Rattus norvegicus: one gene and its partners. The protein of the gene in region 3 binds, or shares a complex with, the protein of the main gene of each other region. Links are inferred from orthologs where the notes say so. Each region holds a gene or a part of one and is shown on either strand. Other genes may lie near its edges.

Region 1 (4,208 bases), about 16 Mb from region 3:
AAGGGAACTCAAATTCTGAAATCCAAGAGCTAGATCATCTTTTCTGATCTGGTCCTGTACATTCTTGGAAGAGTTGTGGGGAGTGTTGTGGATGGGGGCTGGGGAGCATAGGGGTGCTTCTCTGTCCCTTGCCTTTGTCTATTGGACCTGTTGTCTTCCTGGTGCTCCTTTCAAAGGGTGGGGTCCGGCCTTTCAAAAGGCGAAGTCTAAGAACTAGGATCAATATAAATCCAAGCACACTGGCTTTCATTTCCCAGGGATTCCCAATCCTGTGTCCTGCAGGTGATTATGTTTTCTGACACTGTCATATGGTTTGGGGGACCTTCTCTATGTTCTTGCCTGATTGGGTCCTGTTCAGCCAGAGTGCTGCTCTGACTTTTCTCGTGGCCACTACACCTAGGTTTCGGGAGTGGCAAATGTAGAACAAAGGAGCCAAGGGCGCCTTGGGGACCCAGAGGTGTGCGGAGTGAAGATGGCGGGGTGGGGAAAAGGCACTACAGGAGAGGGGATCTCAAGGAGAGAGGAGGCGGAGCTCCTGGGGTGGTTGACCCTCAGGGCTGAGGAGAGAGGAGGAAGTAGACTGAGGACTCAAATCCTTCAGTTACAGAAGGGAGCGCAGACACTGGTGGAGAAGGGGAAGGTGGCCGCGGGTGTGGGGACCCCAGGCTGAGGGGAGGGGCTGGGACCGGTGGTGGGAGGATACCACGTAGCGGGGACCCTTGATTCGGGGTGGGGGCGGGAAGAGACAGCGTGGTGGAGACCCCTGGCTGAGGGGAGGAGCTGGGCACCGGTGTGTGTGTGTGTGTGTAGGGGTGGGGGTTGGAGGACACGCGTGGTAGGGACCCATCTTTCACGGGAGGAGCTGGCGACCCAGGTGGGGACTAGGCAGCCGCCGCCGACTGAGGACCCCCGGCTGACGCGCGGCGGAGGAGGGGAGGGGGCGGGACCGCGGCGGGGCGGGGCGGCGCGGAGCCGCGGCTGACGCGAAGGGCCGGGCTGGGGGCGCAGGGAAGGGGCGGCGGCGAGCTCGCCAGGCGGCCAGGAACCCGGGTCGGGCCGGGGCCCGGGCCAAGGCGGCAGCTGGCCAGCGGAGCTCAGGCCGGGCGCGGCGGGCCGGGTGAAGGCGGCAAGGCGGCGGGCCCCGGCCCAGGCCCGTAGAGCCGCGCAGCTGCAGCCGGCTGACGTGAGCGGCGTGCGGGTCCCGGCCGGCGGCGCGCTGGCGGCCATGGCGGTGGCGCTGGCGGGCCGCGGGGCGCGCGGCGGCAGGGGCCGGCCCCCGGGCGGGCGGGCGGAGGGGGCGGGGCCGGGGCGCCGGGCGGCCCGCGCGACAGCGGCGGCAGCGGCGGCGGCGGCGGCTGGGACTAGGCGACGGCGGCGACGACGACGGAGGCGCGGGGCGCTGGGGCTGATGGCAGCGGCCGGGCCCGGGGCGGCGCTGTCCCCGCGGCGGTGCGACAGCGACCCGGCCTCCCCCGGAGCGCAGTCCCCGAAGGTGAGCGGAGCGCGCTGCCCAACGGCTGCAGCGGCCCGGGCCGGGTTCGGGAGCGCAGTGGGGACAGGACGGCGGGTCCCCAAGCAACAAGTGCGGCGAACGGTGGGCGCGGACCTCAGGGAGACCTGCGCGGCGGGTGGGAAGTTGTCGGGGAGTAGTAGGGACCGGAAGACTCGCGAAGAGTGGTTGAGACGGAGCGCCCGCAGCCTGGGGAAGTCAGAAAAGTTGCGGCCTTTTGGGATCTCAAGTCCAGGAGACGCTGAGCGGGGCGTGCGCTCGTGGTCCCGAGTTGGCAGAACGTGGGTTCACACCCACAGACTCGGCCAGCCGAAGTGACCCGTCCACGTGCCCGTCCCTCCCCGCGGGGCCTCTGTCTGCTCCCCTGTGAACCTCACTGTGGCCGGGCCCGAGTCAGAGCAGCGCCCGGGGGCTGCTGGCTCCTGGCCCCGACTGAGGACCTTGCAGAGAAGAGGGCCTTACCTGGAACGTAGCCCTTAGAATTCATACGGTTGTGAGCTGTTAAACTCTGTGTCAACTTCCATTATTGTTTCTTTTCGAATGGATCATTGTTTTTAACTAAAAGCGTTTTTAAACAGAAATCTTTAAAATATTCACAAATTAGTAAAATAGCGCTTAAAATGCTTCAGAGCTTAAAATGAACCTTGTCAAGCAAGTATGGAATATGAGTACTGTGAAAAATTAAATATTAAATATTATCTTTCAACTTGTTTTTTAGTTTTAAAAAGGAATATTAAGTTTGTTTACTTGACTTCATTTTTGATGAGTGAAAAGGAGAATGGTTTCTTTTTTTTTAATTTGAAAAATAATTTTAGTAAATTCCTAGGTGCTAGAGACATAGTGAAATGTAAAATCACTGCTAACCTCAACGTTAACATATATCAGTTATGCACTAGCCCTTGCTCTTCATGTGCTCATGTATCACTTCACTGAATCCTTGCATCAGCCACCTAGGCTTTCAGACAGGGAGAAGCTGGCAGGTTACCACACAGCTGGTGGACAGCTGCTCCATACGACTCCAGGCAGCCCACAGTGGCATGCTGACCTGACGTGCTGGCCTGTGCTTCCTTTTTATTTTCTTTCGCGGGTCCTTATTGAAATATATAGTAAGATTAGTAGTGTTAAGAGCTATAGTACCTTGATTTAAAGAACTATGAGCTGAAGCCATGAGCAATATGTAAATGAATTATTTTAAAAACATTTGACTACTTCTTTCCTTAATGGAATGGCTCAACAACTTATATCTTCTATGAGCTTATCACAATGTGCTGAATTTCTGCTATAGAAGAAAAAGAATGTAGTTAGACTTGGTAACCTGTGTCCAGTCCTTCATCTGCAAAGTAGCTAATTAGAATGTGATCTGGTAGGCCAGTTGTAAATGGAAGTGTGCTACAAAATTTGTTAGTATTTATTTCCCAGCTCAAATAGGAAGGCTTACTTTGATTTTAAAGTGGTTTTGCTATTAAAAAGCAGAAGACATTTGAACACAACCTAGTTGGTAAGAAAATGAAAGCAGAGTACATTTAAAATATAGTTGAAAATCAATTTTGTTTAGATTGAAGGTCAGTTTTTAGATTTATTCCATTTCTTATAACAAATTCTCTGTCCTTTTAATTATTCTAAAATTAAGTTTTCTAAGGACACTAGGTAGAAATGTGCTTTCTCTTGTTGATATTTAGGCAGACTGGAATGATACAGAATCACTCTTTGTTTTTAATTCATTTTAACATTTTCCATTTTTTTAATGTACAGGATGATAATGAAGATAACTCAAATGATGGGGGTCATCCATCTAAAAGAAGACGAATGGGTTCAGGGGATAGTTCAAGAAGTTGCGAGACTTCAAGTCAAGATCTTAGGTACTGCTGCTTTAAGGCTCAGTAGTGACTTCTGTAAACTGTTTGCTCACTTCTTCTTTCCTATCCCAGGCAGCATGAAAAGTTATTAAAAATTATATGTATGGGCTGGAGAGATGGCTCAGAAGTTAAGAATGCTTGTCTAACTGGAGATTGGTTACCAGCACCCACCTCCCCCAGTCTCCTGTAAGCTCCAGAGGCGCTGATGTTCCATTCTGTCCTCCACAGATGTTTGTACACATATACACAAAGCAAGCAAACAAACAAATCTTTAAAAAAGAGTCATATAATATAATATCGAAGTTGGTCTTGCTCCTGAGAACTATTAAAAAAAACAAACGATAAAATAGGTACATAAAATACAGCCATCGTAACACTTTTTATATATAAGAAGTATAGTTCAGTGGCATTAATTACATTTACAATATTGTGCAACCATCACTCTCACCCCTTTTCAAAACTTCAGTAGTGAAACTGCAGAACCCCCCAGTACCTCCTGTTCCTTCCTGCCCCCTGCTGCTGGTTGGTTACCAACTAAGTTCTCCTTCCTGCCCCTGACTGTGAACCATACAGTGCCTATCCCTAACCATATTATCTTCAAGGTTCATCTGTGTTGGAGGTCCTGAAGTCTGAACGATATTCCACTGTATGTGCTGCTACATTTTGCTTATTCCTGTGTATGCCTGCAGGCTGGGGTAATTAATGCTGAAGTGAACACTGGCGTTCAGAACCCTTGCTCTTAGTACCCTGGTATATAGCTAGAAGTGGAAAGCTGTACCATATGGTAATTCTGTGTTCAGCTTTTATAAGGACCTTCCATACATTTCCAGTGGTACCACCAT
Region 2 (4,233 bases), on a different chromosome or scaffold from region 3:
AAAGATTCTGGACTTGGGCATTCATTTCTTCAAAGTCCTGTGACTCCTGTGGCAAATGACAGGATGACAGGGACATAGTCATATCCGCTGCAGACGTCCTCCCAAAGCAGCTCCACAGAGGTCAGAGACACTGCTAGTGTGCTGCATCTGTCCCATCTGTCTAAAACTGAATCCATCATCCAGACAATACTGCAGACAGAAAATACTATATGACCCTGTGCTCTTCCCAAAATCAAAGCCAGGCTCCAAGGAGTGAGAAACCACCCATTTTGGTCTTGGGGATAACTATTCTCATTCAACTGGGAAGGCAAAGAGTCAAGAGCCCAAAAGGAGGCTGTGGTTGGACTTCTAAAACCGAAAACATTCGATGACAATTACCTCAAGAGACATGTATTTCCAGTTTAAACATCTCGGATGCATGAGAAAAATAAAACCGGTCAAGAGTACTCAGTGCAAGAACACGTGTTCAGTGCGCAAAGGCTCAGGGCTCCCCAGCATGAGAACTGAGGAAGGCAGGAGAAGAGAGTGGCGAGAGGGTAAGGAGGCACAGCAAGCTGTCCCGAGGTTCTTCCCACATGACCAGGAGCTGTCTCTCAATTGCTCCACCAGATACGTATTTTCTTTTCAAAACTACCCCCAGCCTCTTAGAGCTCAGGCCAGATTTACTCTTTCACTGGTCAGTTCAGGGAAGCGTCTTTCAACAAATTCTCCTGCATAGATTGTTCCTTATGTACTGACCTTGCATTTGCACAAATGCCTACTGGCCAACCAGCACCCTTCCGAGCCACAGGAGATGGCCGGGCCCTGACTGCACGTCCCCAGCACTGCCACCTTGGAACAGTAGCAGAGGTGATGGTGGGAACAGTCATGGCAGCCTGCACTTTTTGTTTAATGGAAAAAAGTGAAAGCAGAAATGCTAAGTCTAGATGTTTCTGACAATACTGGTCCCACTACCTGATTCAACCAACACCCTAATGGAGTATAAGACACTCAACAGCTGCCAGGAGGTAACTGCTGGCAGTTTGAAATGGCATTAGTTAGCTCTCTAGGGTGGGCCCTACCTCCTTACACATGCTATATGTCTACTGGTTAATATTCACATATTGAGGGGTTGGGGATTTAGCTCAGTGGTAGAGCGCTTGTCTAGCAAGCGCAAGGCCCCCAGCTCCGAAAAAAAGAAAAGAAAAAAAATTTCACATATTGGAATTTTATGGTTTTTTTTTTTTCTTTTGAGACTACGTAGACCAGGCTGGACTCAAACTCACCCTCTATTCTACCTCTGGAGTGTTCAGGTTAAAGGTGCAGCCTAGTGCTTGGCCACCCACAGCTTAAAATACAAAAACAAAACAAAAACAAAAACAAAAAAAAACAATAAAGAAAAAGAAAGAAAGAAAAGGAAACATAAACGGGATGTGGTGGCACCAAGTGCTTTGATCCCAGCATTTGAGAGGCAGAGGCAGGTGGATTTCTGTGAGTTCAAGGTTAGCCAGGTCTCAAAGGGGAGTTGCAAACCAGCCAGGGTCACACAATGAGATCTTGTCTCAAAGAGAAGGGGGGAGTGGAGACATAAACTGGTTGGCGGTTGCCCTTAGATGGAAGAAAGCTAGTTTGAGACAATCTGTTTTAAAAAAGAAAGAAAAGAAACTTCATACATTTGGCTGGTCTGTAGGTCTAATTGTAGGGTTTTTCTAAGACAGTGGTTCTCAGCCTTCCTAATGCTGTGACCCTTTAATACAGTTTCTCATGTTGTGATGACCCCTCACCATAAAATTCTCCCGTTGCTACTTCATAACTATAATTCTGCTAGAGTTACAAATCATAATGTCACTATCTTATATGCGGGATATCTGATGTGGGAGCCCTATGAAAGGGGTAGCAACACACAAGAGCGAACCTAAGGAACTATGTCCACTTAACTGAACAGGGGCTGTCTCTTCTAGTTATGAGTTATGGGTTAGCGATCCTTAGATTTATCCCCTATAAAGACTCAAAATCAGTTCACAGATCTCCAAAATGTTAGTGCTTCTGGCCTTGGGGCCTCAACCACTCAAAAGCAAACATCCTCCTCCAATCACTTTCTACACATCATAAAACTTATGCTACTGCACTCCACCACAGAAACAAGGACACAAAGGGGAGGAGGTTTTCCTAAGCCTCAGGCTTACAACTAGAGGTTTCAAGACCATGGCAGTGGGGTGCACGAGAGCTGCCGAAGGGCTCAAGGGCAGTACTGCACCTCCAAGCACCCAGGGGCTTCCCAAACATCCTTTTTCCATTTGCCTAGAGTGAACCGGCTCGATGCTCTAAGCTCTAAGCTAGGGCAGATGCTTAGGGTCGGATGTTAAGTGGGTAAGGAAACCTAGAGGCCACGCCCACCAGGCCACGCCCCAGCTGCGAGCACGAGCCCGCCTCCGCGATGAATGGAGGCGCGCACTCGGGGAGCACTGGCCCGCCCCGGGATTCGAGCCGGCCAGCCGCTGCTCGGGAAGCCGAGAACGCGCCGCGGGCTACCTCGGAGCCGATCATGTAGAACTCCCCGTCGTCCTCCAGCTGAAACTTGACGGGCTTCTGCCCGAAGGTCTTGCTCAACGCCATCATCATCATGGCGGCGGGGGAAACTGGCAGCCGGGGTCGAGCTGGAAAGAATCCGGTGGGCTGGGGCGGGGCCGAGGCGCGTCGGACCGAAAGGAACGGAGGCCGGGAGGTGAAGGACGGACAGGGCGAGCCGGGCAAACCGGGAAGGCGCTCGCGTCACTACTAGGTTCTTAAGCCGTCTCTGCGAAGAGCAGGCCTCCCTCCGTGCGCATGCGCGTGGGGGTGCTGACGCTAACGTGCGCGCCGCCGCCTGCGCGAGCGCGTTCCCGCAGGCCCTTAAAGGGACCCGAGCTTCTTTTGCTTCCAGGCGGGTATGGAGGGAAACTTCTCAGCGACAGAAATAGCCACTGAGGTCCTGACTCAGGCGGTGGCTTTTCTAGTGGCACAGCCTGAGATGGCACTCCGCCCTGGGATGAAGGGAATAAATGAGATGTTAAGCGGGGAGAAGAACCGCTCCATCTGGAGCGGGGTGGGCATGGCGACCCCAGGCCGGCCAGGTTCTCCACCCGAAGGTGCGCTAGGAATAGCTAGCTATCCGCTGCAGGCCCACAGCTATTCCCGAGGCAGTAGGGATGGGAAGAATAACAGTACTGGATGGAGGTTGGTACTATTCAAAGATCTATATAATGTGCCAGGTGACCGGGAAGAGACACTTGCCTTCCTTCCTTACCTCTGCAAGCTTGGTGCCCACAAGCCCAGTCCTGTTCTGTGCCTCTGCCGGCCTTGGGCCTTAACAGCCCCGAGGCAAGACAGAGCTTCTGGAAAGTGTCCAAGCAGTCCACCCTCTGTTGAACAGAGCCTTGACTCCAAAATGTTTAAGTAATGTTTATTGTAGCGCTATTACAATAGCTTAAGTTATAGCCCAGCCTAGGTAGAAGAATGGTTGAAGAAAATGTAATCTAGGCAGGGTGTCGTGGCTAGCCCCAGCACTCGGGAGGCAGAGACAGGAGGATTTCTGTGAGTTATAGGCAAGTCTACACAGTGAGTTTCAGGACAGCCAGGGGTAGGTAGAGAAACTGTCTCAGAAAAAAATAAAATAAAATAAAGCAAAAAGAGTGAAATGTGTGTACACGACGGAATTATTTTTTCAGCCCCCAAAACGAAATCGTTTTCAGGAAAATGGATGCAACTGGAGATAATCGTATTAAATCAAGCCAGTCTGAGAAAGACAAATAGGTTTTCTCTCCTTTGTGCTTTCTAGATTTCACATAGATTCATAAAATATGTACTACACAGAACATGAAAGAAAAGTGACATTGTGTATGGGAGCAAAGGGACTAACAGGAGAGGGAGGGGGGATAGGGGAAGTGGGGTATGGGAGGGGGAGGATGTACAAAATATAAATACCTTTAAGAAAGTGGAAATCAAACTGGCCAGTTTCATAAGGGTCAGCCTAATGAGACCATAGTTGTGACTAGGGTCCTTAGGAAGGAGATGTTAACTAGGAAGGGCCGTGGTAACCAGGAGTTTGCCCAACTGTCCTCACAGCCACGGGAACCAGAGTGTTAAGGGCCAGGCATGGTGGTTCACACTTTTAATCCCAGAACTCCAGAATCCTAGGCAGGCAGACCTCCGTGAGTTCCAGGACATGATGTGTGAGACCATCCCTTCCCCCAGGTAATTAGGCACGATCGGATA
Region 3 (3,742 bases):
TAAAGATCTTTTGATTCCCTATGAGTGTATAGGAAAAAGGTCACTGTAACACACTACTTATTTTTATTGGTACAGTGCAAATTTTTAGAAGGAGTAAAGTCCAACTCGGCGACCAAAGAGCATTTCCTGGCATGCACACAGCGTTGCTGTCATTTATACAGCACACCTATTTCTAGACTGCTAGCATTTTGTGTGGAATGGGTCCTGTCTCTCCTAATGGCTCTGATACACACACACACACACACACACACACACACACACACACACACACACACACACACACATATTCTTAGTCTAAAAATTCACATGCACTAACATTTCCAAATCTCTGTTAATTTCAGACATACAGCGAGGCAGGGCTGTTGTTATGCTATGCTGTGCCCGCCTGCAATATTTATTCATTTGGGGAGGCAGCTTTAGACTATGTTTTAGATGTAACAGCCCATGACAGAGTTAAACCGAGAGACAAGTGTGCCGTTTTCTCATGACCTCTATTAGTCCCCACCAATAGCAGCAGCTGGCTTTAGAGAAGCCTTCTATGGCTCACAGCCCACACTTCTGGAGGAGTCTGGGCCCCCAAAGCAGCAGCACACCTCCTTGTGGAGGTAGGCCTTTACCTCAGAGCAACTGCTGATAATGCCAGAAAGATCTATGCTACATATACATTTGTTTTGTTACTAATGTAATTACTTATTTAAAAGAAAGCTTTTTTATGGAGCAACAACTCAAGAGTTTTACAAAGCAAACCACCAAACAATAAAACATAATTCAGTATCTGCCCTAAATCCAAAAATAACAAAGAGAGACAAACAACCAGGGCCACTTACAGGGCTTGATGGAGTCTTGGGCCAGCCTGGGCTGCTAATGCTATCACTCTCATCTCCGTGAAAGGAGGAGATGCTGGCAGAGCTGGGGGACATTGGGGAAGGGACTGGCAGGTTGCCTGGAGTTGGAGGCTGAGAAATACCCTGAGAGCTGTAGCTATCCTGTGGGAGAGGAACAAAAATAAAACAACAAAGTTACGTCAAACTTTATTTAAAACAGAAGTACGTCCAGTTTAACTGACTAATTGTGTATGTGTGCATGTGTATCTCTCTATATATCACAACTGTATATATAAAGACACGTACACACACAGCCCCCAAAGTACCAAAGTATTCTTAGCATGGTTGGTCACTGGTCACTGTGAGGGATGCTGGAAAGGCCACAAAGCCACCATGCGTACTCCAGCTTAACTGGAATACTAGCTACGGATTACCCATATGTAAGAGAGTGAAAGAAAGATAAAGCACCATCTCCCTTATTTATGAAATACGGTAGGGAAGCAAAATAATATGGATGTGGTTGCTGAGGTGGGTGGCCAAAACAAGAAGCTCCAAACTAAAGGCAGAGAAATGACTCCAAGGGTCCACACCAGGCAACAGAGATCCCTTGCTTCCCCCACAGGCACCTCTCAAGTAGGTTTTGTCCTCCCCTCCCCCATGGTGATTTAACACTGTAAGAACCAGTAACTTTGATATTCACATCACAGGGGATATGCAGTAGGATAGAAAAGACTGCACACATGTGCAGGGAGGACCGTGGCGTGCGGGGAGGACCGTGGCGTGCGGGGAGGACCGTGGCGTGCAGGGAGGACTGTGGTGTGCGGGGAGGAAGTACCTTTGACTTGCTCTCAGGCTGGGGCACACCTTCTTCTTTGCCATCTGCTTTAAGAGGCACGGACAGTTTGGACTCACTGGGAGACATCATATCTGTAAGACCCATAGATGCTAATGGAAAATAGGAGAAAATCCGAGTTACACATGAGGTGTACCATGGCACCCCTGTTTACATGAGCTACTGAGTGAGGCACCAGCACCCAAGCTTCCCCTGAAGGAGAGAAAGGGGCAAAACAGACTAATCAAACAATCAGAAGAGTCATGGGCTCCTGAAGCACACTGATATATGAAAGAAAGGCTACACAGGGGGAGGGGCAGATTCTGTATGCTCAAGAGTCCCAGACGCTGGCTAGTTTATAATCGTTTTCTCTTTACCACAGCTTAAGCAGTAGTCATCAAGTCCACATGAGCGTCCTGTGCACTGCTTGCTCATGGGCTGGCAAGCAGCTTGCGTTTATCGGGGCTCTAGATGGTCTGGCCTTCTATTTCCTCAGCTCAAGTAATCTCTGTCCACAAAACCTTAGCTACTTCACATTGTCTAGTCTACAGCACAGGAGGAGCCGGATGAGGACTTAGGGGAAGGTCCCTATGACTTTACAGTGGGCCGCTGTCCCTTCAGCGGGCACAGAGCCTACAGTTACTAACCCTCCATAGGAGATGAAATAAATGCCCATAGCAGCTCCTGATACAACCTACACTTCCTATCTTCAGCTAAGAAATGCAGCCAGCTCCATCTAGGCCCTGTTAAAGTTTCAGACAACAATCGACTCATACATACTCATTGAAGACACCAAAAGACATGCTCTGAAGGCTTGATTTCTTTTTAAAAGAAGAATCCAACCATGGAGGGCAATCAGTGTAGTTATTGAGGGAACAGAGCTGAATTTCCATAGACCCTTAGAGAGCCATCTAGCTGCACATCCCTGCCCTAGAGGTTCTGAGTGCATGTGTAAAGAACAAGTGGAAACTGAGGCAGCGATCTGCACTCACTCCCTCCCTGTCAAGATGACAGAACTCTGAGGTTTCATAAGCAGGACCTGCTTCAGATGCTGCCATGGTGAGTGTGGACTCAGCCAGGCAGAGTAGAAAGTAGAAAGAAGGAAAAGCAAACCAGCCTGAATCAGACTCTGCAGATCGCCCACTACAAAACGATCACTGCACATATTCATGTATTACTAGGTTTTAGAAAATAATTAGTTTTAATTACAGCGGGGAGAGAAGGAGCGGGCTCTGGTGAGTTAGCTGGCAAGCTCCATGGTGCTAATTTGTTATTATCGTTAGCATCACTGCAGGTTGAGACCGTAGGTCCTGCCAAACAAGCCTACCCTGCCATGTGCCCTGGAGTTGACGTCAGTGCACGGTACCGTGCTCCGACCCTGTGCTGCCACAGGCACACTAGCTGGGTCTGTGGAGTTGGTTTGCAGCTCAGTCAGTCCTTAAAGGCACCACGACACACACAAATCATAATTGAGATGCTTTTCTCTTTTTTTTTTGAAATTACTTTCATACTTATACTTTAAGAACTGGAACAAAAAGCCTTTCAAGTGATGCAGCTGCAGAGAAAAATCTATTGGGATCAGCTAAAAATGTGTTATTTCTGTGAATGTGTGAAACCTCAAAAAAAAAAAAAAAAAAAGGGCAGCTGAGTGGTAGATTCTACGGCAGAGACAGCCCTGTGCAGAGCAGCAGCTGCTTTCATGCGGCTTCTCTGCAGGGCCCGCCGAGGCAGGAGGTAGTGGCCTGGCTGAAGAGGGGAAAGCAGTGCAGTGCATGGACGTCGGGTGCTCTGGCTCTTCTGCAGAGAGGGAGGAAGGCCATATCACATGGCTTCTATCAAATCCTGCGCTCCAGAGGCCAGAGTGGACTGTGTTGCCAGTATTTGTAAGTTATGTCTGGATATCATTTTGGCAGTAAGAATAGCAATATGTTTCCACACATATTACATACTAATGCATTTCACACATTAATGCACACAAAAGTAATTTTAAGCAGAAAGAGCTAAGCCAATTGTATTACAATAATCAGCAGTAATTTGCACTGATTCCATAATCAGACTCAGAGGACTATAAGCATATGTGACATTT
Region 4 (4,118 bases), on a different chromosome or scaffold from region 3:
TAATCTGTTCCCACAAGTTCCCTCAGGCATTGCCCCTCCCTCAGTCCCACCCCCAGCTAGCCCATTAACGTGACCCTTGGTTGTCTCAAAGCTCGGGGACTCCTCCTCCTGAAGGTGTGGACAGGCGTGGCTTGTGGCATGGGCGGGGCTTGGGCTCAACCTAGGGATTTCAGGATCTGCCCCCTCCTTTCTGTTCTTCCTCCCCTCCGGGATTGGCCAGTTCTCTCCACACTGTCCCATTTGGGGTTTCTTCATCTTCATACACCACACTCCTGCTTTCTTTTTGGTTCTGGGGCGGACTTCACGAACCCCAGACTCTGCGTCTCCACGCCAAGCCATCAAGCCCTGTTTGCCTCACCCTTTCCTCCTACCCACCCAAGTACCCACCCTGGATCCGCGCCATTCCTCACAATGTACTCCTCCTGTTCTCATGAGCCCAATCCATGTCCCCCTTTCGGAAATACTTCCCCTATTGCCCTCACTTTCTCACACAGAGTCAAACAAAGACTCACGAGCCCAGAAATAAACTCCCACAGAGCTGAAAGACACGGGCCGTGTCCTGCTCCGCACGCACGCGCGCAAGCTCGGCGGCTCTTGTGGAGGGAAGCACACCGACGGGGCGTTTGTCAGTGCACGCACATAAACATCCACACCCACAGCCTCTGCGCCGTGCCACAAAAGGGTGCAGACACACGGTGTGCGAGACAAGGGCACACACATCTGCGGGCGCCCAGGAGCCCGCCTAGCCCGGCACACCCACCGCGGCTGGCCCTGGGACAGGAGCAAGGCCTGCTCCGGGCTCGGGCTCCCCCCAGATTCCTTGCAGCAAATGTTTCCCTACTTGGCCTGCCTGGTCCCTGGGGAAAGGGCCTCAGAAATGCGGCAGGAGCCACTTGGGGAAAGAAAGTTGGAACTGCCTGTTCCCTGCCTGGCCCTGTCGGCGAATTCCCTAACCGAGAAACTATTTGTGGCGAGGGCAGGGTGGCTAGCGAGCCCCCTGTCACCTCCCATGGTGTCCCCTCCCCGTGCCACCACCGATGGGCCCCGGGCGGCCTGGGCGCAGCTGAGCTGCCCATCGCGCAGCCTCCGGGCAGATCGGCTCGTCTCGCCGCTTCTGTGCGCCGCTTGGACCACGCGGAGTGCACGGAAGGGCCGCTCTGTCCCCGGCGCGTCGCAGGCAGACCCCGGGCCGCCGGACTATTTCTGTCTTATCAGTGCAGGAATGCGGCAGCCGCGGCGGCGGCGGCGGCGGCGGCGGGCGGGCGGCGGCGGCGTGGGCCGTGGGCCGTCAGGGCAGCCCTGAAGGGGCCCCCTCCCCACTCCGCTCGAGTAGAAGTGTGAGAGAGCCCAGCAGGACTCAGAGGGGAGAGTTGGAGGAAAAAAAAGGCAGAAAAGGGAAAGAAAGAGGAAGAGAGAGAGAGAGTGAGAGGAGCCGCTGAGCCCACCCCGATGGCCGCGGACGAAGTTGCCGGAGGGGCGCGCAAAGCCACGAAAAGCAAACTTTTTGAGTTTCTGGTCCATGGGGTGGTGAGTGGGGGAAAGTTAGCGGGGGAGGGTGAGCGAGCTGGCTCGGGCTGAATGGAGGGATGATCGGGAGGGGCCGCCGGCGCGCTCCCGCTCTCCCACCCCTTTGGTTGGGGGGCGCACGGTCACGGCCCAACCCTGGGACCTTGCCGGCGCCCTGGCATCCGAACACGTCGCCAAGCGGTCGGCTGGGGATGGGCGCGCGGCGGCTGGGAAGAGAGGCGTCGGCTTGGGTTCTTATCAGGGGCAAGGGGTGGGATGTGGGCACCGTGTCTCCCCCAAGAGGGGGGTCCCCTCAGTAACTGACATATCTCACATTCTTTTACTGGTGGGCTCAGGTGTTACCCCTGCCCTGGGGGTGGGGGTGGGGTGGTGATTCGAACACACAGCTAGGGCTGGGCTGCCTGTTGTCCCTGTTCATCCTTTGGGACAGGGTCACTCTGATTAGGTCTGAAGAACTAAGAGCAGGTGACCCTGAAGGCACCTAAGAGCCAAAGCTCTCTGGCTGAGCAACCCCTGCATCCTAGCAGGAGGGCCTTGAGTACTTGGCCCCGATGTCAGAGCTGAGAGAGGCCTACTTGAGAGACCCCAAGTTAAGCAGTCAGAGGACCTCCTTGGCAGGCTCAGCCACCAGAAAGTTGATGACCTTAACACCTCAAAGGTGTGAGGGAGGGGCTGGAGTTGGGGACATGAGGCCTAGAGACCAAAGGGATAAGACTATACTTACTGTTCTAACACCGACACACCGACACACACACACACACACACACACATACAGACACACACACACACACACACACACACACACACACACACACACACACACGAAGAGTCTGAGGGTACTCAGGGACCTAATGAGGTAGACACTTGAATTCAGTTAGCAGACAGAGCGCCTGGCTATGAGGAGCTCCAAGCCTGGGCACATGGAGGGAAGAATCAGTCAGATTCACTATGATCAAATTTGGTTGTGACCCCTGGAAGCACCTTTTCAGTGAGAGAGGCAAGGGCCCCCAGAATCTGACCTCTATGAGGGGGTACTAATGGCAGGCCTCTGGGATCCCCTAGAAGGCTTCTCCTCAGGGCCTCTCAGTAGACCAGACAGTATCAGTGGCCTTGATGAATAGGAGAGCAGTTGATAGGGAAGAGGGCTTCTCTGTGGCAGCCTGTTCTAGCCTTAGGGATATCTGGGGTGTAATTTCCAAGACAGCCCTGTGGACTAGTGGAGTTACCAGTCCTGACCTGGCTGCTTGAGTAGTCGCTTGAAAGAGTACGACCCCATGAAGAATTAATTGAATATGGCCACCTTGGAGGTTCAGTTCTTGGATGATGATTAGGGCCCCCTCTATAGTCATGAAGGGTGGCTAGGCCTGAGCTTCTACCCTGGTGGCATTGGTGCTGTGAGTGACAGAGCCAGGTGGAGTGGGGGTGGCAGATTCAGGGACAGGCCAGTTTCACTGCAGAAGAGATGAGCAGAGACAGCTGCTGGCTATGGGTGGAGACCTTAGGGGTAAGCAGTGTAAGAGGAGAAAGGAAGCCTGGGAGTTAGGGTTAAGGCTTCTTAGTCTGGGGGCAAGATGAGGGCGTGCGTGCCTGCCTGCGTGCCTGCGTGCTCGAGGGCGCATGCGCATGGTCTTCAGTAGCCCAAGCTGGCCTCAAATTCACTATATATCAGTACTTGACTTCCTGCCTCCACCTCAATATTGGGATTACAAGTGTGTGCTATCATGTGCAGTTTATTTGATACTGGGGATCGAACCCAGGTCTCCACATGTGTTGCACAAGCCCTGTACCAAGCTACATCCCTAGCCTGAGATGGGGGTGTTTAAATAGGGTTTTCATACCTCTCTCCCTAATACCCTTCCTGTTCTTCTGAACTCGTCCCACCTCCTGACTAGTCCCAAAACCTCAGCCCCCTTCCTGGGCTTGGACAAGTGAAATCTGTAACACTTCACTCACATTGGCATCTCCTCTGTTTTGATTGACTGAGTAGAGGTGGTGGCCGGGGAAAATCAATCTGCCTCATTTCCCTCCAATTTCTACCCTTCCTGGGATTGGGTGGGGAATGGGTTGACTCTTATGTGATCAGATGGGAGAGGGAATGAATGCTGCTACAGATGCTGCTTCCTTCAACCGTCCCTGCACTGGCAGCCCACTTCTAGTCCAGTTCCCCACTTGCCACTAGGCAGAGTCTGATGACACCAGACCCTCAGGTGCCCTTGCCTCTTGTATCACCTTGGGAGAAATGACATTAAAGAGGCAGGCTAAGTCGGTGGGTGTGGAGACCTGGAGTTAGCTGAACCAGTTATGTTTGAGATTGAGGTGCCAAAGCCGGGGGCTCTGAAAGGGAGATGGGGGCTCAAGTACAAAGCACATCAGCCCCAGAAGTGGGGTGTGGAAATTGGGAAATGAGAAATGAGGACAGGAAATCAGCCCCTCACCGCAGCGAAGCAGCGGGGAGCAGGGCCGGTCAGGTGCTGCCTTTGCCGGGAAGAGCAGGGTGACCTTGGCGAGGTCGCTTTTTTCTTTGAGCCCCAGTTGCCCCATCTGTCAAGTGGGGATGAAAAGACCTGCTCTGACTGGCTCGCAGAGAGCCG

Evidence for each region. The genes of interacting proteins can lie anywhere in the genome.
Region 1: Arid1b (region 3) and Phf10 share a complex: the UniProt entries of both Homo sapiens proteins name them as parts of the neural progenitors-specific chromatin remodeling complex. The link is inferred for Rattus norvegicus from reciprocal best matches to the Homo sapiens genes ARID1B and PHF10.
Region 2: Arid1b (region 3) and Smarcb1 share a complex: the UniProt entries of both Homo sapiens proteins name them as parts of the neuron-specific chromatin remodeling complex. The link is inferred for Rattus norvegicus from reciprocal best matches to the Homo sapiens genes ARID1B and SMARCB1.
Region 4: Arid1b (region 3) and Smarcd3 share a complex: the UniProt entries of both Homo sapiens proteins name them as parts of the neuron-specific chromatin remodeling complex. The link is inferred for Rattus norvegicus from reciprocal best matches to the Homo sapiens genes ARID1B and SMARCD3.

The regions. Positions count from the first base shown.
Region 1 is NC_086019.1:64,638,868-64,643,075, reverse strand, and holds the start of Phf10 (PHD finger protein 10), read left to right. Parts: upstream 1-1,408; coding exon 1,409-1,492; intron 1,493-3,262; coding exon 3,263-3,369; intron 3,370-4,208. UniProt on the Homo sapiens protein: Involved in transcription activity regulation by chromatin remodeling. Belongs to the neural progenitors-specific chromatin remodeling complex (npBAF complex) and is required for the proliferation of neural progenitors.
Region 2 is NC_086038.1:12,739,515-12,743,747, reverse strand, and holds the start of Smarcb1 (SWI/SNF-related matrix-associated actin-dependent regulator of chromatin subfamily B member 1), read right to left. Parts: upstream 2,801-4,233; 5' UTR 2,605-2,800; coding exon 2,512-2,604; intron 1-2,511.
Region 3 is NC_086019.1:48,295,366-48,299,107, reverse strand, and holds part of Arid1b (AT-rich interactive domain-containing protein 1B), read right to left. Parts: intron 1,770-3,742; coding exon 1,660-1,769; intron 987-1,659; coding exon 828-986; intron 1-827. UniProt on the Homo sapiens protein: Involved in transcriptional activation and repression of select genes by chromatin remodeling (alteration of DNA-nucleosome topology).
Region 4 is NC_086022.1:11,461,958-11,466,075, forward strand, and holds the start of Smarcd3 (SWI/SNF-related matrix-associated actin-dependent regulator of chromatin subfamily D member 3), read left to right. Parts: upstream 1-1,318; 5' UTR 1,319-1,449; coding exon 1,450-1,527; intron 1,528-4,118. UniProt on the Homo sapiens protein: Involved in transcriptional activation and repression of select genes by chromatin remodeling (alteration of DNA-nucleosome topology).